Mus musculus: one gene and its partners. The protein of the gene in region 3 binds, or shares a complex with, the protein of the main gene of each other region. Links are inferred from orthologs where the notes say so. Each region holds a gene or a part of one and is shown on either strand. Other genes may lie near its edges. The genes, in order: Arid1b, Smarcd3, Smarcc1, Smarcd2, Dpf3, Pbrm1 and Actb.

Region 1 (4,107 bases), on a different chromosome or scaffold from region 3:
ATTTCAGAATACTGAAATCTTAATGCATTAAACTGTAAACTGGTAGGATTAAAATATATTCAATTAGATCTGTAAAAAGCAGACTTTTATAAAAAAGCTTGACGAAGCCCAAACTGGTCCAATCTTTGCATTAATTATTTCCCAATGCTCCTATTTTCAGTCCACAATTAAAGCCCACAATAAATGTAATGTTCATATTGTAAGATTTGTCATCGAAGACCCAAGTTTTATAAATGCCTAATACTGGACAACAGCATGTTTCTCTGTATTCAATCCTTTATTACTAACTATGATTCATAACAATTTAAGCTCTAAATAGTATTCAATCTTCCATGTGCTTGGAATAGAGTTCAGTTATTATTTGTGTCAGGAATTTTTGTGACTGTACTGCTCCGCACTTCTATTTACATCAGCAGTGCTAAATGCCCAATGGTGAGAGGGGAGCCAATCAGATGGCAGATTAGATGTCAACTCAGAGGCAGCTGTCTGGAGACTATTACAGCCAGTTTACCTCCACAATTCAAATTCCAAACCTTGCAAAGGAGAGATCAAGTCAGTCTTTAGGCTCAGCCTACTAGCAAGAAACAGCCAGAGCGCAAGACACTTCCTAACAACGCTGTTGGACTTGGGAGACAGCAAAATCAAGAAAATCCACTCAAATACGATCCACAACGACCCATTTTCTCTGGCCTACTACCTTACTAGGTTTGCTGAATAAAAAAGGAAAACCTAACCCATGATCAAAATAAGTTCCATCGATCCGGAATCTATTCCTTCAACATCGCCTCCCGGTTGAAGGTGACTCCTTCCAAGGAGCCCTTAGCCCCATAATGGATCTCTCCCCAGCTATTCTTAGGAACGAATCGATGTTATTTTACAATATTTCGCCTCCGCCCGTTGTAAATCTGGGTCTTATTCTTGCTGGTAAACATCCAAACTCCACCAGCCACGGCTGTCACAAAGCTAACCTCGGTTTTTGGGTTTTTTTTTTTTTTTTTTTTTGGTTTTTTTTTTCCCCCTGCCTCCTCCTCGCAAGGGGAATGGGAAACCGACCGAGGCCCGAAGAGAGAAAGTTCCTCTCTCCCCGCGCCCACTCAGGGCACACCGTGGGCGCCGGCGGAGTCAAGCCGGGCCCCGGAGCCCGCTGCCCCGAGAGCCCTCCCCGGGCGGGCGCGGCCTGGGGCACCGAGGTCCCGTCCCGGGCCTGGCACGGGAGCGCAGCGCGCAGCAAGGGCGCGGGACACCCCGGCTCCCCAGCCCCGCCAGCTCCGGCCCCGGCCCGGCGGCGCCGCGCCCCCGCCACCCCCGCCAACCGCCGGGAAAAGTACCCGGCGAAGAAAGAAAGTCGGGCTCGCGGCGCGAGGCCCGGGCGGAAGCAGGCCCGGCCGGGCGCGGGGGTTACCTGGGATCTGCCCATGGTCGGTCCGGGGGTGCCGGGGCTCATCGCCGGGTGACTCCTTTGTTGCGCGGCCGCCCAGGCCGGGCTGGCAGCGGCGTACTGGGCGCCTAGGTCCTTGCCCAAGCCCATGCCCGCGGCCGCCTGCTGGCCACCCGCCGCCGCCCCCGCCGCCGCCTGGGACTGGGGCTGCGACGGCGGCGGCGGCGCGCTGGAGCTGCTGTAGTCGGGGTAGCTACCGCCGTAGCTCCTCATCATGGGGCTGGGTGAGGTGAGCAGCTGGTTGAGGGTCGGTGTAGCCCCCGACGGGTGCTGGTTCTGGCCGGCGAAGCGCTGGAAGCCCCCCGCCGCCGCCGCCGCGCCGGCGGCCGCCTTGCTGAGGCTCGCGGCCCCGCCGCCCCCGGGGCCCATCATCATGCCGCCGCCCTGCTGCCGCGGGGAGCTCAGCACCCCGTACCCCGAGGACGAGCTCCCATAGCCGCCGCCACCGCCTCCTCCTGCTGCTGCTGCTGCTGCCGCCGCCGCCGCGGCCGCCGCCGCCACAGCTCCGGCTCCTGCTGCCGCTGCCGCTGCTCCTCCTGCTCCTCCTGCTCCTCCTCCTCCTCCACCTCCTCCGCTGCCTCCTCCTCCTCCGCCGCCGCCGCCGCCGCCGCCCGCGCCGGGCCGGCTGTAGCCCGGATAATGGTTGTACTGGCTGTTGGGGTACCCTTCGTGGGAGTTCTGCAGGGGGTCCATGCTGCTGGGGGCCCCGGCGGCGGCAGAGGCGGAGTGCATCATCCCCATCCCGGGGCTTTGTTGTCCGCCATGTTGATCAAAGCAAGGCCCAGCGCGGCCGCCGGGGCCGCCGCTAGCAGGGGCAGCGCTGCCATAGTAATTATTAAACTCCGAGACGGCCGCTGGGCCGCCGCCGCCCCCGGGCACGGCGACCGGCGCGGGCTGCTGCTGCGCGCCCAGGCCCGGGTGCTCATAGCGGCTGCCCGCCGGCTCCCCCATCTTGGGCGGCGCGTCGTCCTCGTCGCCCGGTTTGCTCAGCAGAGGCTGGCCCTGCGGGTCAGCCTGATTGCCCGCGACACTGTCCTTGGCGCCTCCATGTTGCGGCTGCTCCATGTCCGGGCCGGGCTGAGGCGCGCCGCCGCCCGCACCGCCCAGGCTGTTGTTGGCAGTGGGATGCTGCTGCTGCGGCGGTGGCGGCGGCTGCTGCTGCTGTGGCTGCGGCGGCTGCGGCTGCTGGAACTGGTTTAGCTGCTGCTGTAGTGCGTGGTGGTGGTGGAGGTGGTGGAGGTGGTGGGCATGGTGGTGGTGGTGGTGGTGGGCATGGTGGTGGTGGTGCTGCTGATGGGGCGGTGCAGCGGGGGCCTCGCCAACGGCTTTCAGTTTGTGGTTGGGGAGCAGCCCGGTCTCCATGGTCGAGCCGGGGCCCGCCGAGGAGGAAGAGGCCGCGACGGCGGCGGAGGAGGACAGCGCGGCGGCGCTTCCACCCTCCTTGAGAGCCGCCTCGGAGCGGCCGCTCTGCGCGCTGTTGGAGCTGGCGGCCGCCGCGGCGCTCGCGCTATGGGCCATGTTCAGGTCGTGACGGGGGTGCAGGGGGTGGTGGTGCACATTATTCAGGCCGCCGTCGCCGCCCCCCAGGATGGGGCCCGGAGCCGCCACCGCGCCGCGCGCGCCCGTCTCCAGGTCCCGGGCCCCGGGCGCCGGCCGCGGCCCCGAGGGCGCCCGCCGCTCGCCGCTGCCCGCCCGCGCCCGCGCCGCCGCTGCTGCCCGCGCGGCCATGATCGCCGCGGCGTGGCGCGGCCGGGCGGGGTGGGGGGAGACAATGTCCCCACTCGCAGCCGGCCGCCCCTCCTGCGCGCATCCACGCGGCCCGCGGGGAAGCGCGGTGCCCTCCCCACCCCACCCCCCGCAGCCCCGGGCCGCCCGCCGGGGGCGCGCCTTTGCGCTCGGGGGCTCGCGCCCGCTACGGCCTGAACGGGCGGAAAGTTTTTTAGTTCCGCTTGCAATGAAACTTTTCTCTCTCCCTCCCTCACTCTCGCTCGCTCTCTCTCTCTCTCTTTTTCCCCCCTCTCTAACCCGGATATGGGGGGGGGGGGGAAATGCACGACTTGCCTGAGCCTAATCGGGCCCAGCGCGGCGTGAGGGAGCCGAGCGAGCCGGAGCAACTATTATCCGCTTCTCTCCGAGGGCTGCTGCGCACTCGCAAAACGCGGACTGGACTCGGCCCCGGGCGCCGCCGCTGAGCGCACGTTCGCCCGCCAGCTCGCCCCGCTCACCCGGCTGGTCTCGCCCGGCCTGGCGCGGAGGGCCCGGCCCGGGGGAGCGAGGGGAGGGGGGGGGGAACCGGCTGCCGGCGCTCGGGGCCCGAAGCTGCTCGGTCCCCTCGTGCCTCCGGTCTCCCTGCCAACCCGCGCGCGGCCCTGTGTTTGTTTTCACGTCTAAAGGGAGCGGTACGAAGGTGGAAAACGAGTCTGAAGAGCAGACAAAAGAGGGAGAAGGGGCTGGGAAGCAAAGTTGTCTGTTGGGCCTCAGAGGTGGCGAGGAGCCGGTGGAGAAGAGAAACACTCAGGCAGGCCGGGCAAAAGCACTCGGTCTCTCTCAGGAGTTATGTAATTTTTCACAACCTTGGCCTCTGCGCCTGAATTTCAGGCCATCGGCTTAATTCCCACAACTTCATCCAACTGAGAAATTATGAAAGACTTAAGTGAAGGTTAAGCAGC
Region 2 (4,212 bases), on a different chromosome or scaffold from region 3:
TCAAAGAAAACAGCGACCTCACCAAGGTCACCCTGCTCTTCCTGGCAAAGGCAGCACCTGGCGGGCCCTGCTCCCCGCTGCTTCGCTGCGGTGAGGGAGGGGCTGATCTCCTGCCCTCATTCTCCATTTCCACACCCCACTTCTGGGTCTGATGTGTTTTGTACTTGAGCCCCTATCTCCATTTCGGAGCCCCCTGCTTTTGGCACCTCAATCTCAAACATAACTGGTACAGCTAACTCCAGGTCTCCACACCCACTGACTTAACCTGCCTCTTTAATTTTATTTCTCCCAAGATGATACAAGAGACTGGGCAAGGGGACCTGCGGGTCTGGTGTCATCAAACTCTGCCAGGTTTTCTTGAGTGGCAAGTGGGGAACGGGACTAGAAGTGGACTGCCAGTGCAGGGATGTGAAGGAAGCAGCATCTGTAGCAGTATCCATTTCCCCCTCCCATCTGCCCACATCAGAGACAACCTATTCCTCACAATATCCCAGAAAGGGTAGAAATTGGAGGGAAATGAGGCAGGTTGATTTTCTCTGGCCACCAGCTCTGGGCAGTCAATCAAAAGAGATGAGATGTGAATGCAAGTGGAGTGTTTCAGATTTCACTTGTCCAAGCCCAGGAAGGGGGCTGAGGCTTGGGGACCTAGACCAGGAAGGGTATTAGGGAGAGGGGAATGAAACCCCTATTATTTAAACACTACCATCTCAGGCTAGGGATGTAGCTTGGTTAAGGGCTTGTGCAATACATGTGGTGCTCTGGGTTCGATCCCCAGCATCAAATAAACTGCACATGATAGCACATACTTTTTTTTTTTTTTTTTTTTTTGAGACAGGGTTTCTCTGTGTAGCCCTGGCTGTCCTGGAACTCACTCTGTAGACCAGGCTGGCCTTGAACTCAGAAATCCACCTGCCTCTGCCTCCCGAGTGCTGGGATTAAAGGCGTGCGCCACCACCGCCTGGCATGATAGCACATACTTATAATCCTAATCTTGAGGTGAAGGCAGAAAATCAAGACCACCCTCTGATATATAGTGAATTTGAGGCCAGCCTGGGCTACAGAAGGCCATGCACACACACACCCTTCTCATCTTGCCCCCTGGATTAAGAAGCCCTAACCCTAACCCTGGGCTTCCTTTCTCCTCTTACATTGCTTACCTCTGAGGTCTCCACCCAGAGCCAAGCAGCTGTCTCTGCCCATCTCTTCTATAGTCAAACAGGCCTGTCCCTGAACTTGCCTCCCCCATTCCACCTGACTCTGTCACTCACAGCACCAATGTCACCAGCGTGGAAGCTCAAGCCTAGCCATTCTCCATCACTATAGAGGGGACTCTAATCATCCAAGAACCGAACTACCAAGTTGACCACATTCAATTCCATATGCAGAGCCTCTTCACTGGATGGTAGTCTTTAAAGCAACTACTCTTAAGCAGCTAGGTCAGGATTGGTAACTCCACTAACCCATAGGGCTGCCTTGGAATTTATACCCCAGAGATCCCTATGGCTAGAGAACAGGCTGCCACAGAGAAGCCCTCTTCCCTATCAGCCACTCTCCTATTCATCAAGGCCACTGATACTGTTGGGTCTAATGAGGCCCTGAGAAGAAGGCTTCTAGGGGCCCCCAGGAGCCTGCCATCAGTAACAGCCTCATAAGGGTCAGATTCTGGGGGCCCTTGCCTCTCACTGAAATGGTGCTTCCTGGAGTCACAACCAAATTTGGCCATAGTAAATATGACTGACTCTTCCCTCCATATGCCCAGGCTTAGAGCTCCTCACAGCAGGCTCTCCACCTCAATAGGTTCCTGGGTACCCTCAGACTCCTCACATGTCTTCGTGAGTGTGTGAGTGTGTGTGTGTGTGTGTGTTAGAACGGTATAGTACTATCCCTTTGGTTTCTAGGCCTCATGTCCCCAACTCCTGCCCCTCCTTCACACCTTTGAGGTGTTAAGGTCATCAACTTCTGGTGGCTGAGCCTGCCAAGGAGATCTTCTGACTGCTTAACTTGAGGTCTCACAAGTAGACCCTTCTCAGCTCTGACAGCAGGGCCAAGTCCTCAAGGCCCTCCTGCTAGGATGCAGAGGTTGTTCAGCAGAGAGCTTTTGCTCTTAGGTCACCTGCTCCTAGCTGCTCAGACCTAGTCGGAGTGACCCTGTCCCAAAGGATGAACAGGGACAACAGGCAGCCCTGCCCTAGCTGTGTGTTCGAGTCACCACCCCACCCCCACCCCCAGGGCAGGGGTAACACCTGAGCCCACCAGTAAAAGAATGTGAGACATGTCAGTTACAGAGGGGACCCCCCTCTTGGGGGAGGCACGGTGCCCACATCCCACCCCTTGCCCCTGAGAAGAACCCAAGCCGACGCCTCTCTTCCCGGCCGCCGCGCGCCCATCCCCAGCCGACCGCTTGGCGACGTGTTCGGATGCCAGGGCGCCCGCAAGGTCCCAGGGTTGGGCCGTGACCGTGCGCCCCTCAACCAAAGGGGTGGGAGAGCCGGAGCGCGCCGGCGGCCCCTCCCGATCATCCCTCCATTCAGCCCGAGCCAGCTCGCTCACCCTCCCCCGCTAACTTTCCCCCACTCACCACCCCATGGACCAGAAACTCAAAAAGTTTGCTTTTCGTGGCTTTGCGCGCCCCTCCGGCAACTTCGTCCGCGGCCATCGGGGTGGGCTCAGCGGCTCCTCTCACTCTCTCTCTCTCTTCCTCTTTCTTTCCCTTTTCTGCCTTTTTTTTCCTCCAACTCTCCCCTCTGAGTCCTGCTGGGCTCTCTCACACTTCTACTCGAGCGGAGTGGGGAGGGGGCCCCTTCAGGGCTGCCCTGACGGCCCACGGCCCACGCCGCCGCCGCCGCCCGCCCGCCGCCGCCGCCGCCGCGGCTGCCGCATTCCTGCACTGATAAGACAGAAATAGTCCGGCGGCCCGGGGTCTGCCTGCGACGCGCCGGGGACGGAGCGGCCCTCCTGTGCACTCCGCGTGGTCCAAGCGGCGCACAGAAGCGGCGAGACGAGCCGATCTGCCCGGAGGCTGCGCGATGGGCAGCTGCGCTGCGCCCAGGCCGCCCGGGGCCCATCGGTGGCGGCTCGGGGAGGGAACACCACGGGAGGTGACAAGGGGCTCGCCAGCCACTCTGCCCTCGCCACAAATAGTTTCTCGGTTAGGGAATTCGCCGACATGGCCAGGCAGGGAACAGACAGTTCCAACTTTTTTCCCCCAAGTGGCTCCTGCAGCATTTCTGAGGCCCTTTCCCCTGGGACCAGGCAGGCCAAGTAGGGAAACATTTGCTGGAAGGAATCTGGGGGGGAACCCGAGCCCGAAGCAGGCCTTGCTCCTGTCCCAGGGCCAGCGCGGTGGGTGTGCCGGGCTAGGCGGGCTCCCGGGCGCCCGCAGATGTGTGTGCCCTTGTCTCGCACACCGTGTGTCTGCACCCTTTTGTGGCACGGCGCAGAGGCTGTGGGTGTGGATGTTTATGTGCGTGCACTGACAAACGCCCAGTCTGTGTGCTTCCCTTCACAAGAGCCGCCGAGCCTGCGCGCGTGCGTGCGGGGCAGGACACGGCCTGTGTCTTTCAGCTCTGTTGGAGTCTATTTCTGGGCTTGTGAGTCTTTGTTTGTCTCTGTGCGAGAAAGTGAGGGCAATAGGGGAAATATTTCCGAAAAGGGGACATGGACTGGACTCATGAGAACAGGAGGAGTACATTGTGAGGAATGGCGCGGATCCAGGGTGGGTACTTGGGTGGGTAGGAGGAAAGGGTGAGGCAAGCAGGGCTTGATGGCTTTGGCGCGGAGACCCAGAGAGCTCGGGATTGGTGAAGTCCGCCCCAGAACCGAAGAGAAAGCAGGAGTGTGGGGTAGGAAGACGAGGAAACCCTAAATGGGACAGTGTGGATAGAACTGGCCATCCCTGGAGGGGAGGAAGAACAGAAAGGAGGGGACAAATCCTGAGATCCCTAGGTTGAGCCCAAGCTCCGCCCATTCCACAAGCCACGCCTGTCCCCACCTTCTGAAGGAGGAGTCCGCGGGTTTCAGGACAATCAAGGGTCAGGTTTATGGGCTAGCTGGGGCTGCCGCTGAGAGAGGGACAATGCCTGAGGGAACTTGTGGGAACACATACAATTTGAGCCCTCAAGACCCATTGCACCGAGGGACCCTAACCTTTGGCCCTTCAGAATGTCTTCATGGGTCAGGATAAGGAGCAGAGGAATGCTCTCCCAGTCTATT
Region 3 (3,500 bases):
GATAAAGGGAGGTCGTGGTTACTCTTCTATACTTTGCCTGTTGGGTGGTCTCTCTTTTTTTTTTTTTTTTTTTGGTTTTTCCTGAGACAGGGTTTCTCTGTGTAGCCCTGGCTGTCCTGGCACTCACTCTGTAGACCAGGCTGGCCTCAAACTCAGAAATCCGCCTGCCTCTGCCTCCCGAGTGCTGGGATTAAAGGCGTTGCTACCACACCTGGCTGGGTGTTGTTCTCTTACCTCTTGGCTAAGTCTATGGATTCAGCAGACCTTACTTGAGAGTTGGTGTGAAACTGAACATGATAAATGATCCTATACAGTTTTTGTGTTCTATCATTACCTCATGATGGCTCTGTCTTTGTGACGATGAAGCTCATAGGCTCAGAAGAGTCCTCTTTCTAAGGCTCTGTCACAGCCATGCTTGATAGAAGAGTCAGCATGAAGATGGGTAAGGACTTTGTTACTCTAAAGCTGGTTTCCCTTTATCATGTGACCAGAAATGTTCCTCTCCTAGCTAGAGTTCTGTACTTTTGAGTCCAAACGTGAGCTTTCTACTTACATCTGTAACTGTTTGCATACTACAACAGCAAGTTGAATGCATGTAATGTCACTCAGTAGCAGAATCTAAGTACTTGCTGAGTCTTCAAAGACAAATATATCGGTGTGTAAGTAAATCAGACATTATTTGTTCTGTCTCCCATCATTAATGTAAGGACACTGAGAAGAGATGGAATTGTCTGTCATTTATCTTATTCTCCTACCTCAGCCCAACCCCATGTGTGGTTTTACCAGGCCAGTGCTTCATGGACTCCCTCAGGGATCCTCCAGGTCAGAGAAAGGCAGACCTTTGAAAGTCCTTTCTGATGTCTGGCCTGTGCCAGGCATTGGATGTGATGTGATATGTGATAAGCCACTGCTCATTTAGAGTAACCATAGTGAATCTGTTCTTTGCCTGATGCTTTCTCAGAACTGCTCCCATTTGTGCTTGTTTAACCAGCTTGCTTGCTTGCTTTTTGAGATGGACTCATGTATTTTAGATTGGTGTCAGACCCATTCTGTCTAGCCAGTGGTGACTTTGAAATCTTACTTCTACCTCCCAGATTCTAGGGTTCCAAGTATCCTAGGGTTCTAAGTATCCTAGGGTTCTAAGTATCCTAGGGTTCTAAGTATCCTAGGGTTCTAACCACAGCACTATTTGTGTGGTACTGGGGACTGATCTCACAACCTCTTGCCTTGAGGAAATATCTTTTACTTTTTTTTAAAGATTTATTTATTTATTTATTTATTATATGTGAGTACACTGTTGATATCTTCAGACACACCAGAAGAGGGCATCAGATCCCATTACAGATGGCTGTGAGACACCCTGTGGATGCTGGGAATTGAACTCAGGACCTCTAGAAGAGCAGTCAGCGCTCTTAACCGCTGAGCCATCTCTCCAGCCCAAGGGAAGCATTCTTACCAGTCGTAATTCATGATCTAGTTGAGCCATGGCCTCAGCCCTGTAATTCATTCTCAATAGTAACTACCTTTCCTATACTAAAGTTGAGAAGTCAGTCAGTGATCTTTCCTCAGTTAAGTGTTTCTTCTACAAAAAAATGAATAAAAGGCTGATCATCAGCCAGTGAGAAGGTGAGGGTGCTTGCCTCAAGTCTGGCTGTCCAAGTTCAGTCCTCAAAGCTCACACACTACCAGTTTTCCTCTAGCCTCCATACTTGTACCATGGTGTGTTTGTGCCCATACATCCACATGCTAAATAAGTCTTTATTTGTCTATGTTCTACAGTCTTGGACATTGAGTTGGTGCCTACCCACCCCCAGTGCATGAATACTTACAGTGCTTTAAATCTCTTTCCACAGGTCAAATACCAGGCCCTGGCTCCATGATGCCTGGCCAGCCCATGCCAGGTCGCATGATCCCCGCTGTGGCAGCCAACATTCACCCTACTGGGAGTGGCCCTACCCCTCCTGGTATGCCTCCAATGCCCGGAAACATCTTAGGACCCCGGGTACCCCTCACAGCACCAAACGGCATGTGTAAGTAGCACAGTGGGACGACATTACCCAGCATCCTGCTTTGGAAGCTACAGATAAGGAAGAAATGCTTTCTTCGTGAGATTAGCAAGCCCATAGACAGTCTAGCCTGCAACAGTGAGGTGTGGGAGATAACGTTTTGGTGTGAACACTCAGGTTGTGTACTCAGTACTGAGATCTGTGGGGAAGCCACTGATTCTGTCACTCATGATTAAACCTGACTAGTTTGAATCTCATCTGACATGCATAGTTCCTGGCTGTTCTTTCCCCTACAAGAACTTTTATGCTGTGGAATTAAAGGTGGTAAGTAGGGAAAAAGTGAAGTTCAACCAGACCTAGTCCAATTAAAGGGTACACTCCTTTAACCCCAGTGCTCAGGAGCAGAGGCGCTTGCCAGGCCGTCCTAGTGTACATATGGAGCTCCAGGTCAGCCGAGGCTACATAGTAAGAATCTTTAGGAGGGGGAGGGGGAGAGGAAAGAGAAAGAGAAAAGAAAGAAAAAATTGGTATAAAGACGGGAGTCAGCTCTTGTAGCTGTTCTTGATACTTAGGTAGTTCCTGCATTGACTTGAAATGAGGTGGTTTAGGAACTGCAGAGGAAGAATACCAGGTAAAGAGGTGCTGGCCACGGTCAGTAGCATCCCTCTGAGCTTGTGTTCGGAGCTCAGGTCATTTCCCCCTAAGCCTTACCTCTACCCCTACCCCAGCCCGAGCCCTGACCTCCACAGAGTTACATGAGAGGCTGTGATCTCCAGCTGGGTAGACATGCTCAGTGAGAAGGATCCAGCCATAAGCTGATTTCTTAAGAAGATCCTGTATGTGGCCAGAAATTAGCTCCTAGTCACAAAACAATAAATAACCAGAATCCTCTGCCTGCTGGGCTGAGATGACTCACAGCACTCAGGAGGCAGAGGCAGGCAGATCTCTGAGTTTGAGGCCAGCCAGTGCTACACAGAGAATCTCTGTCTCAGAAGAGAAAAAGAAAAAAGAAGAAAAAAAAACATAATCCTTGACTGCCTTCATGAGCTTTAATTAGGAGAATGGGTGAATGAAAAACCGTTGATAGGACTGTTCATCTCTTATTGATGAAATGTAACCAATAGCCTTAAGCACGGCTACTATGACTTCCTGCTATAATGGACTGAGTTCTAGAACAATGATCCAAAATACACTCACAAGTTGTCTTTTAACTTTAACACACGCTCTCGCACCAGCAAGCCATGTGCGTTTGCGCGCGCGCATGCGCGCGCACGCACACACACACACACACACACACACACACACACACACACACACACAAGCAACAGCTACAACAGGGAACTTCAAAATCCTTGGAATGCACTGTAATAGTCCAGGAGACTTCTTGCAGGGAAGGTGGCTTCATGCAGAGACGCATCTGAATCCCAGAGGCTGAGACAAAGTCCATACACAGAAGAATGTCTTACATTAACTGAATTTATAGAATCTGGCCCA
Region 4 (3,500 bases), on a different chromosome or scaffold from region 3:
TCTTAGGTTCAGGCAGCTATCAGAAGGACCAGGGCTACAGATTTGGAGGAGAGCAGAGCATGTTTTGTTTTGTTTTGTTTTGTTTGTTTGTTTTTTTTATTTTTTTGTTTTTTGTTTTTTTTTGTTTTTGGTTTTTCGAGACAGGGTTTCTCTGTATAGCCCTGGCTGTCCTGGAACTCACTTTGTAGACCAGGCTGGCCTCGAACTCAGAAATCCGCCTGCCTCTGCTCCCGAGTGCTGGGATTAAAGGCGTGTACCACCATGCCCGGCAGAGCATGCTTACTTGAGCCCTACATTTTTTTTCTTTAAAAAAAAAAAAGATTTATTTATTTATTTATTTATTTATTTATTTATTTATTTATTTAATGTATATGAGTATGCTAGCTGTAGATGGTTGTGAGCCATTATGTAGTTGCTGGAACCCTACATTCTTAACCCAGAGATGGCAGAATCAGGCCTAGCCTACTAACCTTGTCTTGGTGGTTATAAAATCAAGCCTAGAATGTGGGGTTGGTGCTTGACCAAGTGGAAGTTACTGTATTCTGGTGTCCTGGGGATGTAAGCAGGCCTGCCTACCCCCATGGTGGAGCAGGCTGGCAGAGAGGCTGAGAATCTGTGGCGGTTGACTTTGTTTTGTTTCTAAGTAGGAGTTACTAGCTCTTCAAAGCCCAGGTGTAGAGCTTGACAAAGAGGAAACTAGGACTTGAATTGTGAGCAGCCTTCCCCTGAGGCTGTGGGTGAGCTAGGGGCCTGGAGCCTGAGCCCCAGAAGTCTAGAGCAGATGTCTGGGTGGGGCCTATCCCAGGCCTGCCTGGGCTGCCTTGCCTCAGGATTTCCTGGAGGGCTCAGCCGTACTACAGGTTTTATGAACCCCAGTGGAGAGCTTTTTGGGGGGAGGGCAGAGCACCGCAGATTATATCTGCAGTTACTCTAGGAAAACCTCAAGTCTGGAGTGATGATGGGGGTCTCAGGTTGTGGCCACCTGAGGTTTTTCTTCTGTCCCCTCCCCCCTTCTATAATCTCTTGCTCTGGCTTATTAGGGCAGAGAAACAGGCTGTCTTCTGCCTTTCAGCAGCATTGATGAATTTCTTCCTGATGAGGAGAGGCTGTGGCAGGACTCCCAAGGTCCCAGGGTCTCCCACTTTTAACTCCTCAGTTGCCACTGTCATCCTGCTCTGCTTCTGTCCCCTTTCCCTTGTCTCTGGGTCATGCGTCTGACTCCTTAATGCTAGATAAAGAAATTACAGGGACTCATCTCCAGGATGCTTGGGTGTGGGGGCTGGGGGGGGGGGTGTCTTTTAACTCAGTGTGAATCTCCACCCAGGCTGGCCCGGTTGTCTGGTTGTACTGATTGATTGCATAACCTGGGCCCCGGGGCCAGCCCTGTGAAGCTGCCAGGGACTGTGTGTGCAAGGCAGAGCTGCCAAACAGGCCTTTCAGGCAGCAGCTATGTGGATGAGCTGGGAGGTGGAGGGCTCCCAGGAAACGGCAGAAACCTGGGCCTTGGATGGGAAGTCAAGGCTGCTTGTGCCACCCAGACTGATGCTGCTGGTGACTCTGTATCCTTGCCTCCCAGGACCGTTGCATTCTGCGACTGGGGGTGGCACGGGTTAAGTTGAACCAGCAGCGGCCTGGCTGCCAGGTGGTGCAGAGACCATGGGCAGAGTCCAGATGTTTGCTGTTCCCATTCCCACAGGCCACCCAAGAACCATAATTTCTTTTTTTGAAAGTCTTTTGACATAGAGATAGGGGCATGGCAATAAGAAAGGAGGGGGAGGGTGGGGTGGGGGAGGGGACAATGGGTCCAGGTTGTGTTAGGGCCATAGGGACCATATGGTGACCAGATGGTGTCTGTACTCTCTTGAGGCCATCCCCACAAGTTGTGACATGGCCGAGCCATCCTATTGTACCTGCTCACCTGGGGTGCTGCGGCCTAATGGGCTTGCTATCCCTACTGCCTTTCTTCCCATCAGCCACCAGGCAGCAGACTTCACAGAGCCTCCTGGACTCCCCTGGGTTGCTATGCGTTGTCCTTGGTCTCCGGAGTAATGTTTTTCCTTCAGGATGGCGAAAGGAAGAAGGGGTCTCTAGTGGGCTATCTAAGGACTCTATAAATACCATGAAGCTGGCTGATCCCAGGGTGCAGGACATAGCATACTGGAGCTGGAAAGGTGTTGATTAGTACTAAAAAGTCCCTCAGGCCCTTCCTTCTGCAAGAGGTACACTCCTCCCCCTCCCACCCATGGACTCTGGCTGCCTCATTTGTTGGCAAGGCTGCCAGGGCGGTTGCAGGGGCGGGGCAGGTGTAGTTTACACGCTGGGCTCAGGCGCCTGTTCCCCTTTGTTCCTGGTCTCCCCATTTGAGAGAGAGAGAGAGAGATGGAGGGTATGGGCTATGGACCTCGGAGGGCTCCGCCACTGACCTGTGTCCCTCCACTGTTCCACTTTCCTCAGCGTCCTGGCATGTCACCAGGAAGCAGGATGCCCATGGCTGGCTTGCAGGTGGGACCTCCTGCCGGTTCCCCATTTGGCACAGCTGCTCCGCTCCGACCTGGCATGCCACCTACCATGATGGATCCATTCCGAAAACGCCTGCTTGTGCCTCAGGCCCAGCCCCCGATGCCTGCCCAGCGCCGAGGGTAAGCCTATTTCTCATACCTTGCCTATCTTGTCTTGGGTGTTAAGTTTCTCTATCTTGACCACAAGGAGGCTCTTGGCCATTTGGGAGAGGGTTTTGAAGATCGTGAGTTTGGACTGTTAACCTCTTAAATGGGTTTCTGTTTTCCTACTAGGTTAAAGAGGAGGAAGATGGCAGATAAGGTTCTACCTCAGCGAGTGAGTGTGTTGGGAGGCCTGCCCAGGTCTGGCTGGCCAGGGTGGGAGTCCTGGAGTGGAGAAGGAGGGGAGGATGGTAGAACTAGAGCTGGTAAAACAAGCCATCGGATTTCTCAACCTGCAGATCCGGGAGCTTGTCCCAGAGTCTCAGGCATACATGGATCTTTTAGCTTTCGAGAGGAAGCTGGACCAGACCATCGCTCGCAAGCGGATGGAGATTCAAGAGGCCATCAAGAAGCCTCTGACGGTATATACTACCCCAAGTTCTCCCAAACTGTTTTCCTTCCTGGACTTGTTCTCTAGGGATGAGCTTGGGCTTGAGCAGTACTCACACAGGGAGCTGTCCACCAGTAGAGCGCACACTCACTTTAGCGTGCTTTGAAATGGTGTCTTGCTACATATGGCTACTCACTCAGTCCTCCTGCCTCTTGTTCTTCCTTTTCAGCAAAAGCGAAAACTTCGGATCTATATTTCCAATACATTCAGCCCCAGCAAGGCGGATGGAGATAATGCGGGAACTGCGGGGACCCCTGGGGGAACCCCGGCAGCAGACAAGGTGGCCTCCTGGGAGCTTCGAGTAGAGGGGAAACTGCTGGATGATGTGAGTTGGAAGGGGAGAAGGCCTGTGTGAACTTAGACTGAGAACAGATGTGAGCGTTCTTTCA
Region 5 (4,207 bases), on a different chromosome or scaffold from region 3:
TAAGGCATAGCCCTACACAGGGTGGCATGAAAGAAACCCGAGCTGGCTTCTTCCCAACACCGTAACTACTGCTGCTTATCCCCAGGCCCAAGAGGAAATCTTTGTGTGACCAGTTTCTTCTGTAGGGGGCGTCCGTGATGTTGCCTTTTTAAGACGAGAAAGACTGCTTGCACCCGGAGAAAATGCTAATGCAGTTTGGAGCTCCGGTTCATTGTCAGGAGGGGCACACAAGGATAAACACATAAGCTCTCCAAGCCATTCTCCTCACTCCTCCTCCTCCCTGCCCCCCCCCCATCCATCCCTTCAGCTTGCTGGGTTGCTATGCTTTGTTCTAATTTGGCCCATGCATAATTTATTCACGTGTGTTTTGTTTCCTGATCAGCAACTTCTAGAAACAAATGGCATGTATAAGATGTTTTATTAAACAAGTTGTTTTTATAATAATAATAATAAAGCAGATGGCCTCAGTCTCCCGGTAACGATGTGTGTGCTCCTGCGTGCGGAGTTTTTAAAATGTCCAGGGTGCAAATAGCTTGACCGATTGGGGTTATTATTTACACCCTTAGCCCTCAGGGGAAGAGGACTGGATGCAAAAGGGGGCGGCTAATTATAAGTGACCATTCGACTTCCTCTGAGGAAAGGCAGACAGGGGTGTTGTGTGAGCGTCCGCGTGCGTGAGCCAAGACGGAGTTACAAATGCATCCCACGGCAAGTATTTCCAATTATTAAGGGATACAAGTGTAAATCTGAACTAGTTCTATTAACTGATTGGCCACCTTCTAGCTTCTCTGTTCCTTCTCCCCCACAATTTCTTATACATGCACTCTTCTGTGGAAAAAAAAAAAAAAAGTGGAAAGATCTGGGGGACCCAGGAGTGTGGAGCTCCTGCGCGCGCCCGAGCGTAAGCCCGCTCCCGGGCATCAAGGATGCCGCTTTGCCAATGAAGAACCCTGTACACATAGCAAATAGATCTCTCCGACTTGAGTTTACCAAGCAGCATCAGCTCGGCTACGTGATTTCGGCTGGAAATGAGGAAATTGCAAATCAGCTGTGTGTGGGTTCTGGAGAAACTCCCAGCCCCAGCGGTGTGGCGGCGGGAGTCGGCGAGGAGCGGGGAAGTTACGCCCATTTCTTCTGCCATAAAACAATTTCTCTCTTCGGTGAGACGCTGTCGCGAGTGCAAAGTAGCTGAGCTTCCGAACGAGAACGGGAGCCAGGAACTCGCATCAAGCTCAGCCTCCGTCTTTACAGCAATATCTCATGGAAACTCCAAGATCTGGGACATCCCTGCCCTATTCCTGGTTGTTGGCTGGTGCAAACGCAGCGGGTTCTCCCTACGGGTTTCTTGGCACTAGGAATCCCACGCACACTCTCTCGCCGCCGCCCTGCTGCTCCCCAAAGCGAACGGTGTTTTCGACTCCCATAGCCAGGGACGCTGTAGCGCGCAGCTAAAAGAGCCAAGATCGACCACTGACACACACCGGGAAGAATTGGCACTAAACACCCACGCTCACCCTCCGACTCCCACTGGCTTTCATCAGGGCGGGGAAGTCCTAGTACACCGGGCACCCACTGGGTGCCCACGCCGCGCCGCGATTCCCAAGGATCCACCCTCTGCCAACATGCCTGCCAATAGCGCCCCTTGAGAGCCACACTAGTTTTCCGAGGCCACCCCCGGCTCCGCGATCACCCGCGGACTTGCGGCTTCATATTCAGTCCACCGACTGGAAGAAGGAAGGAAGGAAGGAAGGAAGGAAGGAAGGAAGGAAGGAAGGAAGACCGGCGGGCAGGCAGCTCCGATCGGGAACCGGCCCCCGCGAGTCCTTGCGCAGCCCGCCCCCCTGTGTCCGCTCAAAGTCTCCGGGAGGCACCTGCCCCTCGCTGTCGCCAGAGCCCTCCACCGCCGCCTCCACCGCCTCGGCTTTTCACCCAGAGCAGGCAAGCACACCATTTATAAGACCTGCAGTTTCCCTGCCTCCATATCAACCCCAAGTTAACCCGGATCGTTAATTTACTAGAGCCAGTTAGCCTACAAATACACAGACACACCGGCGACCGCCCGGAGCGCCTGCCTGATCCCCGGCTGCCGGAGTGGAAAAGCCCGGGGCAAGCACCTGGGCCCCAGGACTCCCGGGACCCGCCGCTCCGCGCGCTGTCCTCCCAACTCCGGAAGGTTTACACAAACTCCCTGCGAGAGCTCGGAAGGCAGAGCGAACGCCCTGCAAAACTCCGCAGCCGCTGCGGTCCGTCTGCCCGCCTGGGTGGACGAGCAGCGGGGCCGGGAAGGTTCGGGCTTGGAGTGCAGGGCTCAGCCGAGCGCACGACGCGGTCTCTGCCCCGCGCTCCGGCCAGGCTCAGCCAACCCCGCGCTCTGGCCAGCCTCAGCCAGCTCCGCGCGGCGCCGGGAGAGGCAGGGGACTCCGAGAACCGTGAAGACCCGGGCTGCTCACGACCCCCGCAGCTCCTGAGCCGGCGCCGCCGCTCTGTGTTCCCTCCCGGTCCCGGTCAGCCAATTAAGCAGAACACAAATGTAACAATTTTCTTTTTGTTAATTGCATCTCCTGACATTTCTGCGCGCTGGGAGGAAAAAAAAAGATGAAGAAGTAAGAGCAGGAAGAAAAGAGGAGCCCGGGCGCAGCGGGAGGTGTCTGCGAGAGCCGGGCGCCGGCTGCGCTCCACAAGGCGCCTTTTTTTCATATTGAAACCACGCGGAATATGTACATTTTTTAGTCTTACTTACGCTTTCAGGGGGTTGTGAATGACAGTCGCCATTTTGCTACAATGTAACAGAATATTGTCTGTCTCAGAGTTCTAAAGGTTCGCTCAGGGGAAGCGGCAGGCCAATCAGAGCACGGGATACCGGCCTACCGGCCAATCGGCGCGGCTGGTCGCCAAGTGGGCGGGGCCTGCGTGGTGGTAGTTATTAGGGGAGCTGTCAAAGCCCAGAGGTCACTCCCTTTTGTAGAGCCCGAGAGCGAGCAGGTCTTAAAGGGGCAGTACCGTGTTAGTAGCGCCCTTTTAGATTGGAACTCGTGGAGACAACATGGGAGAGCATTCTCGCTTAGTTGGAGTCCCTACTTTGCTAAATAACTGCAGAGTTTGCGCTCCTGGACAAGAATATTTACATAGTGCCAACAAAACCACTTAACCCCATTCATTAGCTCTGGGCTTTGTAAATCACGGTTTTTAACCCCCGAGCTCCTTGTACACCACCGTGTTGCAGTGCAAAAAGTTGGAAGGCTGCAGTTTCCTCCAAGAAATTACTACTCGTGTTCCACTGTTTGCTAATAATGTTCTGGGTTCCGCGGCTGTTCAATATTCTTGTTCCCGAAGTGTTTTCTTGATCTCAGCCACCTTCCCCGGGCGGTTTCTGAGAACTGGAGAGTCCAGGACAGCAACTCCCTTCCTCCTGGAATGTCTCAGTGTCAGGCTTGCGGACAGCCACGGCTTTTGTTACGTAATTCACGGGTGGTCACTCCGCGCGGTCCCCTACGACCACCGTTCTCCACTGTCAACGATTCACACTGATCTGACATGGCCAGCTTGGGAGCGAAGTGAGACCTGGCGCTTTTTAGGCAGAAGGTTGGGGAAATTTTGAGGCAACTTTAGGAAACGCAGCTAGGGAAGTCAGTAACTATGCAAAAATTGTTAGAGCCTGAGGTAGGTGTTGCCTGAGTCCCCTCTGGGAACGGCTCTGAGAATTCAGGCGTCACCTTTCTGGACTAAGATAGGAGGTGAAAAGAATTTGCAAGTGAATGTTCAGACGTGACTCCTGGCTTCCCCAGTATGCGGCTGCTCAGAATCTGATAAACCCCAGAAGAAACTGAGAGACTTCTGCGAACTCAGACTTCCACGGAGCACAGGGAGACTCGGAGTGGGCGAAAACTCATGAAATCACTTAGAGGGCACAGGCATCGTTAGCTTATAGAAGCCGGGCTATGGCCCCCTTGGCTGTTTAATCAGGTCAAATAGCTGGGGGCTGGGAAGTGAAAAGGAAACCGAGAGATGCTGAATTGCAGTTCACAATTCCACCTGCTCTCGCCTTTTACGACTCTCGATGAATAAAGTAAAATACAATTACAAAGCAGTCCAGAACTTTCAGATTCCAGCTCCATTCACTATTAGAGTTACAGATAAGCCCAGCAAAGCTGAGTGAGTCTGTGCGTGCAGACTGGAAATATTTAACTCTTTGTTTGCCTAGTAGGGT
Region 6 (3,500 bases), on a different chromosome or scaffold from region 3:
GAGATCAGAGGTCAAGGTCAGGTGTCTCCTACTTCCTATTCTATTTCCTGAGACAGGGTCTTGTACTGACTGGCTTGACTGGTTCCTGGGGTCTTCCGTTGTCAACACTCAGCTACCTCCATCTCGAGCACTGCAGCTACAAGCCTGTCCAGCATGCTTGGCTTTTATATGGGTGCCAGGGATCTAAACTCAGGTCTTGCATGGCAAGAACTTTACACACTAAACATCTAGCTCTTTTTATTGATTCTTATGCCACAAGAAGTCCCAATACTATTTTCATTTACAAAAATTAAAATGGCTTTTGTTATCTTTCTTAAACATTTAAAAAATTGAGGTTTATGGGTGTTTTCCCTGTACATATATCTTTGTATCACTTACATGCCTAGTGCCTATGGAGGCCAGAAGAGGGTGTCAGGTGCCGTCAGAATGGAGTTACAGATGGGGAGGAACCAGCATGTGAGTGCTGGTGTACACAGACCTCTGGGAAGAGTAACTAGCCCTCTTAATTGCTGAGCCATGCTCCAGGCCCCTGTTCCGTTTCTCAACAGAACTCAGGGCATGAGATAAACTATAAGGATTTCTGTTTCTATATGTGTCATGGGTTGTATCTTCCAGCCCTCAAAAGCAAAAGCCTATCATATCAATAATGGGAGAATAAAAAGATCTTATTTCGTAAAAAAATCAATCTGTGTACTTCTTAACAGAGTTCCCCATAATCTATGAGACATGTGCTCTTTAGAAGATTCACTGGACTCAAGCAACTGTGAACCACAGGAGTGGCATTTACATTTCATTATTATTATTATTATTATTTTTGGTTTTTCGAGACAGGGTTTCTCTTTATAGCCCTGGCTGTCCTCGAACTCAGGAATCTGCCTGCCTCTGCCTCCCGAGTGCTGGGATTAAAGGCGTGTGCCACCACCGCCCAGCTTAAATTTCATTATTAAAGTACTGCTACATCCCATGAACTAGAGCATGTTCATCAACTAGTATCAACACCCAACAAAAATTTCTTGAATGAAACCTCGTATAGAATTTGACTGTAAGATGCCTCCACTCTCCTCTTTATTTCTATCCCTAGTTCTTCACAAGGAACCATTTCCTAAACATGCTAATCAAGGATCCACCTCAAACTCTGAAACACAGCATATTTACACCCTAACCTTTCCCTTTCTTTTGTGGTTTTTTTTTTTTTTTTTGTGACAGGGTTTCTCTGTGTAGCCCTGGCTGTCCTAGAACTTACTCTGTAGACCAGGCTGGCCTTGAACTCAGAAATTTGCCTGCCAAGTGCTGGGATTGGAGGCATGCGCCACCACGCCTGGCTCACTTTCTTTATACCATTTATCATATGCAGAGTATCAGCCTCTCTATTCATCTTCCAACTCTTTTATGATACTTTGTGCCTTTTTAGGTAAACTCTGGCCCACAAAGTTTCTTACATGATCATGTTGAAAGTGATCATGTTGGGTTTTAATAGGCTACTTCACATTTCCTTAAGTATCAGTCTAACCATGAGATTTCAAGCTCTTTAATATAGAGCTCAACAATGCTTATCATTCATGTCTGTGTTCCATAACTGGTAACTATCAGCAGCAGTGCTCTCAGTGGGAAACAAGCCAAGGCATATCACCTACTAGATGTTAGATTATGAATTTTATTGCTTGCACATCTCCAATTCTTCAAATAAAAACTGAAAAGATTATCAGTCCCATAGACAAGTACAGATGACTTAGAGATGATCTTCACGAAGGGCTTTACCATGATATTTTACAAAAGTTGTCACTAGGAAAAGCAATCATTAATATTTACTTTTCCTTCACGGTCTAGAGCAAAGATCTCCTAGATGCAATTAAACAGTCTAAAGTTCTAGCTCTCAGTACTTCAGAAGAGGGCAGGATTTACTATCTGTAAGTTCAATTTAACCAAGTGCCTGTAAGAGCATATAGAACTTATACTGCGATTGCTGGATTACACTGGGTATTCTTCCAGTAAGTGCCAAAGATACGCAGGCTAAAAAGCTGAAGGAATTTTAGTAAATTAAATTTATTCTTTTAAACCATTTATAGTCCTACACTATGCTCTTAAATTGATAAATGAGATAAAAAAACAAAAGGCCTTATTAAGTAACTGAAATAGAGATTGAGGGGGCTGAGAAGGAGCACTGGTGTTCTTCCAGAGGACCCAGGTTCAATTTACTGCACCCACATGGTGGGTAACAACCATCTGTAACTCTAGTCCCAAAGAAACTAACTCCCTTTTCTGGCCACTGTGGGCACTGGATATATGTGCTGCATAGACATACATACAGGCACACCATCTCAGTACACATAAAATAAAAATAAGCAAGTTTTTAAAAAAGTGAATGGATTTAGACCAGTCTATCCTCAAAGAATAACTCCAAGCTCTCTAATTCATTTAAAACATTCTTAAGACTAATTTTCAAAGAAAAAAAAAATCCTACTTTTAGTTTTATTACAGACTGTATTATTGATCCTTTAAAAGACATCTTCTGCGAAAGGCTGCATTTTAGGTTTCTGCATTATGCAAGAGCTTCAGTCCTGCCCCTCTCACCGGCACTTATGATGACAACTCAGTAGTGCTCTTTACAAGTTTGTTGTTGTTGTTGTTTGTTTTTTGTAGACAGTTTCTCTGTGTGGTCTTGGCTGTCCTGGAACTTGCTCTGTAGACCAGGCTGTCCTTGAACTCAAGAGATCTATCTGCCTCTGCCTCCTGAATGATGGGGTTAAAGGTGACCACCGTTCAACTCCCTCTTTATAAGTTTTGACCCCTCCAACACTGTAAAAGGGGTGGGGGGAGCATATGTTTTGCCTACCAAGAATTCAGGATAGAAGGCTATCTACAGGCTGGTGAGATAGCTCAGAAGGTAAGAGCACTGACTGCTCTTTTAAAGGTCCTGAGATCAAATCCCAGCAACAACATGGTGGTTCACAACCATCTGTAATGAGATCTGACGCCCTCTTCTGGTGTGTCTGAAGACAGCAACAGTGTACTTATGTATAATAATAAATAAATATTTTGAAGAAAAAAAAGAGGAAGGCTACCTACTATAACCATGTACCTAAGCAGAAAGTTTATCAAAGCATAACTCTCTCATCTGTTTTGCATTAAAAATCACATGTATTTATCATAAAGAGATGGGTTTGAAAACATACCGGTTCATCCTTCTTGCCCGTTCCAATACTTCAAACATATGCTCCTGAAATAAATCAAGTCGCCGATACCGATTACTTTCAACATTTTTCCTGATAATGTCAAATGTAAGGGGAGGTTTATTGGGAGAGTTGGGATCCACAGCAGGAATTTCTGCTAAGGAGTCGCTGTAACACCTCCCTTCGTCATCCTGATGACTCATGACTGACACAAAAAGGTTATGGATGAGCTCTTGAATCAGCAACGTCACATTAGGGACATGAGAATCCTCATCTCCCTCCAGGTCTCTCCGAGTCTCAAGGAGGACTTTATGCAGTACAAGGGCATCT
Region 7 (4,227 bases), on a different chromosome or scaffold from region 3:
GTGGGAAAGATAACTAGGGGTGTGTTTCCAGTTCACAGCATATGCTGGGGTGATGGTCACCTCTTCCAGACAAGGCCTCAGCAACTTCAAAATGCCCTGCCACCAGCCAAGAACAAGGAAGCTGGCCACTGTAGTCCATATATGGATGAAGCCTTCTTTGGTTTCAACACCTACACTTTGTGAGCCAGTGAACACCTACCTATGCATGCACTGAGGCACGGCAGGCCCAGAGCATCTCACCTGAAGCACCCTTCTTGCCTAAATCCAGCTTTCTGTCACACTCTCCCAGAAGGTGCGTGTCCTTCTAAGCTAAGCTGAGGGATCCGGCCCTCAACCCTGACCCCGTGTGTAGCTCTCAGCCAAATAGCTGGCTTGCTAAGTAGAACACTGGTACTTAGGTGAGGGGGACAGGGGCTGCTTCTCTCTGGAGGATTTGGGGCTCCGGTGACCACCAACTTTTCCCTGAGCAGCTTGTCACTCCCAGAATCCCCACGGCTGGCAGATGGACTAGTGCACAACTCAGCTGTGGCTGCACATAATAAATAGAGGATAGATGGTGGGCCCCAGCCCAGCGATGTCTGGCAGTCACCCAGAGACACTAGCTAACGGCCCAGGCTTAGTCTTGCCTGGGTGTGATCAGGCAGTTCTCCAAAAGTGCCTGACTCCATGAGAAGTTTTGTTTGTTCTATTGAGCACAGTTCCTTTCTAGATCCGGGGCAGGGGATATCTGGAGGCATCTTCTTGCAACACCTCCAGTTATTGGACCACTGGGGCTCGCCCTATGCTTGGGATAGGATGGCCTTGAGTCTCTAAGAGGTCAAGATCCATGAAAACCTCTCCAACCAGAGTTCTGCTTCCAAGTTGAACCCCAACACACCTAGCAAATTAGAACCACAGCAGAAGGGGCCCCCCCGGATCTGGCTTTCCGGCTATTGCTAGCAATTGCTAGCAAGGGGGAGTGACTCTCTGTCCATTCAATCCAGGCCCCGCGTGTCCCTCAAACAAGAGGCCACACAAATAGGGTCCGGGCCTCGATGCTGACCCTCATCCACTTAAGTGCTCGATATCCACGTGACATCCACACCCAGAGGGTCCTGGGGTGGTTGGGTGACCCCCAGAATGCAGGCCTAGTAACCGAGACATTGAATGGGGCAGTGTCCACAAGGGCGGAGGCTATTCCTGTACATCTGGGCCTACGGAGCCAGCACCCATCGCCAAAACTCTTCATCCTCTTCCTCAATCTCGCTTTCTCTCTCGCTTTTTTTTTTTTTCTTCTTCTTTTTTTTTTTTTTTTTCAAAAGGAGGGGAGAGGGGGTAAAAAAATGCTGCACTGTGCGGCGAGGCCGGTGAGTGAGCGACGCGGAGCCAATCAGCGCCCGCCGTTCCGAAAGTTGCCTTTTATGGCTCGAGTGGCCGCTGTGGCGTCCTATAAAACCCGGCGGCGCAACGCGCAGCCACTGTCGAGTCGCGTCCACCCGCGAGCACAGCTTCTTTGCAGCTCCTTCGTTGCCGGTCCACACCCGCCACCAGGTAAGCAGGGACGCCGGGCCCAGCGGGCCTTCGCTCTCTCGTGGCTAGTACCTCACTGCAGGGTCCTGAGGATCACTCAGAACGGACACCATGGGCGGGTGGAGGGTGGTGCCGGGCCGCGGAGCGGACACTGGCACAGCCAACTTTACGCCTAGCGTGTAGACTCTTTGCAGCCACATTCCCGCGGTGTAGACACTCGTGGGCCCGCTCCCGCTCGGTGCGTGGGGCTTGGGGACACACTAGGGTCGCGGTGTGGGCATTTGATGAGCCGGTGCGGCTTGCGGGTGTTAAAAGCCGTATTAGGTCCATCTTGAGAGTACACAGTATTGGGAACCAGACGCTACGATCACGCCTCAATGGCCTCTGGGTCTTTGTCCAAACCGGTTTGCCTATTCGGCTTGCCGGGCGGGCGGGCGGGCGGGCGGGCGCGGCAGGGCCGGCTCGGCCGGGTGGGGGCTGGGATGCCACTGCGCGTGCGCTCTCTATCACTGGGCATCGAGGCGCGTGTGCGCTAGGGAGGGAGCTCTTCCTCTCCCCCTCTTCCTAGTTAGCTGCGCGTGCGTATTGAGGCTGGGAGCGCGGCTGCCCGGGGTTGGGCGAGGGCGGGGCCGTTGTCCGGAAGGGGCGGGGTCACAGTGGCACGGGCGCCTTGTTTGCGCTTCCTGCTGGGTGTGGTCGCCTCCCGCGCGCGCACAAGCCGCCCGTCGGCGCAGTGTAGGCGGAGCTTGCGCCCGTTTGGGGAGGGGGCGGAGGTCTGGCTTCCTGCCCTAGGTCCGCCTCCGGGCCAGCGTTTGCCTTTTATGGTAATAATGCGGCCGGTCTGCGCTTCCTTTGTCCCCTGAGCTTGGGCGCGCGCCCCCTGGCGGCTCGAGCCCGCGGCTTGCCGGAAGTGGGCAGGGCGGCAGCGGCTGCTCTTGGCGGCCCCGAGGTGACTATAGCCTTCTTTTGTGTCTTGATAGTTCGCCATGGATGACGATATCGCTGCGCTGGTCGTCGACAACGGCTCCGGCATGTGCAAAGCCGGCTTCGCGGGCGACGATGCTCCCCGGGCTGTATTCCCCTCCATCGTGGGCCGCCCTAGGCACCAGGTAAGTGACCTGTTACTTTGGGAGTGGCAAGCCTGGGGTTTTCTTGGGGATCGATGCCGGTGCTAAGAAGGCTGTTCCCTTCCACAGGGTGTGATGGTGGGAATGGGTCAGAAGGACTCCTATGTGGGTGACGAGGCCCAGAGCAAGAGAGGTATCCTGACCCTGAAGTACCCCATTGAACATGGCATTGTTACCAACTGGGACGACATGGAGAAGATCTGGCACCACACCTTCTACAATGAGCTGCGTGTGGCCCCTGAGGAGCACCCTGTGCTGCTCACCGAGGCCCCCCTGAACCCTAAGGCCAACCGTGAAAAGATGACCCAGGTCAGTATCCCGGGTAACCCTTCTCTTTGGCCAGCTTCTCAGCCACGCCCTTTCTCAATTGTCTTTCTTCTGCCGTTCTCCCATAGGACTCCCTTCTATGAGCTGAGTCTCCCTTGGATCTTTGCAGTTTCTGCTCTTTCCCAGACGAGGTCTTTTTTTCTCTCAATTGCCTTTCTGACTAGGTGTTTAAACCCTACAGTGCTGTGGGTTTAGGTACTAACAATGGCTCGTGTGACAAAGCTAATGAGGCTGGTGATAAGTGGCCTTGGAGTGTGTATTGAGTAGATGCACAGTAGGTCTAAGTGGAGCCCCTGTCCTGAGACTCCCAGCACACTGAACTTAGCTGTGTTCTTGCACTCCTTGCATGTCTCAGATCTATCCATACAGTTTCACCTGCCCTGAGTGTTTCTTGTGGCTTTCTGAACTTGACAACATTATTTATTTTTCTCTACAGATCATGTTTGAGACCTTCAACACCCCAGCCATGTACGTAGCCATCCAGGCTGTGCTGTCCCTGTATGCCTCTGGTCGTACCACAGGCATTGTGATGGACTCCGGAGACGGGGTCACCCACACTGTGCCCATCTACGAGGGCTATGCTCTCCCTCACGCCATCCTGCGTCTGGACCTGGCTGGCCGGGACCTGACAGACTACCTCATGAAGATCCTGACCGAGCGTGGCTACAGCTTCACCACCACAGCTGAGAGGGAAATCGTGCGTGACATCAAAGAGAAGCTGTGCTATGTTGCTCTAGACTTCGAGCAGGAGATGGCCACTGCCGCATCCTCTTCCTCCCTGGAGAAGAGCTATGAGCTGCCTGACGGCCAGGTCATCACTATTGGCAACGAGCGGTTCCGATGCCCTGAGGCTCTTTTCCAGCCTTCCTTCTTGGGTAAGTTGTAGCCTAGTCCTTTCTCCATCTAAAGGTGACAAAACTCCTGAGGCCATAGTACAAGTTAAGTCTGATTTCTGTCACTCTTCTCTTAGGTATGGAATCCTGTGGCATCCATGAAACTACATTCAATTCCATCATGAAGTGTGACGTTGACATCCGTAAAGACCTCTATGCCAACACAGTGCTGTCTGGTGGTACCACCATGTACCCAGGCATTGCTGACAGGATGCAGAAGGAGATTACTGCTCTGGCTCCTAGCACCATGAAGATCAAGGTAAGCTAAGCATCCTTAGCTTGGTGAGGGTGGGCCCTGTGGTTGTCAGAGCAACCTTCTAGGTTTAAGGGGAATCCCAGCACCCAGAGAGCTCACCATTCACCATCTTGTC

The links.
Region 1: Smarcc1 (region 3) and Arid1b share a complex: the UniProt entries of both Homo sapiens proteins name them as parts of the neuron-specific chromatin remodeling complex. The link is inferred for Mus musculus from reciprocal best matches to the Homo sapiens genes SMARCC1 and ARID1B.
Region 2: Smarcc1 (region 3) and Smarcd3 share a complex: the UniProt entries of both Homo sapiens proteins name them as parts of the BAF complex. The link is inferred for Mus musculus from reciprocal best matches to the Homo sapiens genes SMARCC1 and SMARCD3.
Region 4: Smarcc1 (region 3) and Smarcd2 share a complex: the UniProt entries of both Homo sapiens proteins name them as parts of the BAF complex. The link is inferred for Mus musculus from reciprocal best matches to the Homo sapiens genes SMARCC1 and SMARCD2.
Region 5: Smarcc1 (region 3) and Dpf3 share a complex: the UniProt entries of both Homo sapiens proteins name them as parts of the BAF complex. The link is inferred for Mus musculus from reciprocal best matches to the Homo sapiens genes SMARCC1 and DPF3.
Region 6: Smarcc1 (region 3) and Pbrm1 share a complex: the UniProt entries of both Homo sapiens proteins name them as parts of the SWI/SNF-B (PBAF) chromatin remodeling complex. The link is inferred for Mus musculus from reciprocal best matches to the Homo sapiens genes SMARCC1 and PBRM1.
Region 7: Smarcc1 (region 3) and Actb share a complex: the UniProt entries of both Homo sapiens proteins name them as parts of the BAF complex. The link is inferred for Mus musculus from reciprocal best matches to the Homo sapiens genes SMARCC1 and ACTB.

Annotation. Positions count from the first base shown.
Region 1 is NC_000083.6:4,993,788-4,997,894, reverse strand, and holds the start of Arid1b (AT-rich interactive domain-containing protein 1B), read right to left. Parts: upstream 2,801-4,107; coding exon 1,403-2,800; intron 971-1,402; exon of another isoform or gene 1-970. UniProt on the Homo sapiens protein: Involved in transcriptional activation and repression of select genes by chromatin remodeling (alteration of DNA-nucleosome topology).
Region 2 is NC_000071.6:24,599,203-24,603,414, forward strand, and holds the start of Smarcd3 (SWI/SNF-related matrix-associated actin-dependent regulator of chromatin subfamily D member 3), read right to left. Parts: upstream 2,801-4,212; 5' UTR 2,657-2,800; coding exon 2,579-2,656; intron 2,563-2,578; exon of another isoform or gene 1,934-2,562; intron 1-1,933. UniProt on the Homo sapiens protein: Involved in transcriptional activation and repression of select genes by chromatin remodeling (alteration of DNA-nucleosome topology).
Region 3 is NC_000075.6:110,233,024-110,236,523, forward strand, and holds part of Smarcc1 (SWI/SNF complex subunit SMARCC1), read left to right. Parts: intron 1-1,853; coding exon 1,854-2,030; intron 2,031-3,500. UniProt on the Homo sapiens protein: Involved in transcriptional activation and repression of select genes by chromatin remodeling (alteration of DNA-nucleosome topology).
Region 4 is NC_000077.6:106,266,473-106,269,972, reverse strand, and holds part of Smarcd2 (SWI/SNF-related matrix-associated actin-dependent regulator of chromatin subfamily D member 2), read left to right. Parts: intron 1-2,340; exon of another isoform or gene 2,341-2,379; coding exon of another isoform or gene 2,380-2,454; coding exon 2,455-2,639; intron 2,640-2,792; coding exon 2,793-2,835; intron 2,836-2,959; coding exon 2,960-3,082; intron 3,083-3,280; coding exon 3,281-3,436; intron 3,437-3,500. UniProt on the Homo sapiens protein: Involved in transcriptional activation and repression of select genes by chromatin remodeling (alteration of DNA-nucleosome topology).
Region 5 is NC_000078.6:83,484,937-83,489,143, forward strand, and holds the start of Dpf3 (zinc finger protein DPF3), read right to left. Parts: upstream 2,801-4,207; 5' UTR 2,773-2,800; coding exon 2,741-2,772; intron 1-2,740. UniProt on the Homo sapiens protein: Belongs to the neuron-specific chromatin remodeling complex (nBAF complex).
Region 6 is NC_000080.6:31,067,638-31,071,137, reverse strand, and holds part of Pbrm1 (protein polybromo-1), read right to left. Parts: coding exon 3,174-3,500; intron 1-3,173. UniProt on the Homo sapiens protein: Involved in transcriptional activation and repression of select genes by chromatin remodeling (alteration of DNA-nucleosome topology). Required for the stability of the SWI/SNF chromatin remodeling complex SWI/SNF-B (PBAF).
Region 7 is NC_000071.6:142,903,955-142,908,181, reverse strand, and holds the start of Actb (actin, cytoplasmic 1), read left to right. Parts: upstream 1-1,427; 5' UTR 1,428-1,530; intron 1,531-2,489; 5' UTR 2,490-2,495; coding exon 2,496-2,618; intron 2,619-2,705; coding exon 2,706-2,945; intron 2,946-3,399; coding exon 3,400-3,838; intron 3,839-3,933; coding exon 3,934-4,115; intron 4,116-4,227. UniProt on the Homo sapiens protein: Actin is a highly conserved protein that polymerizes to produce filaments that form cross-linked networks in the cytoplasm of cells.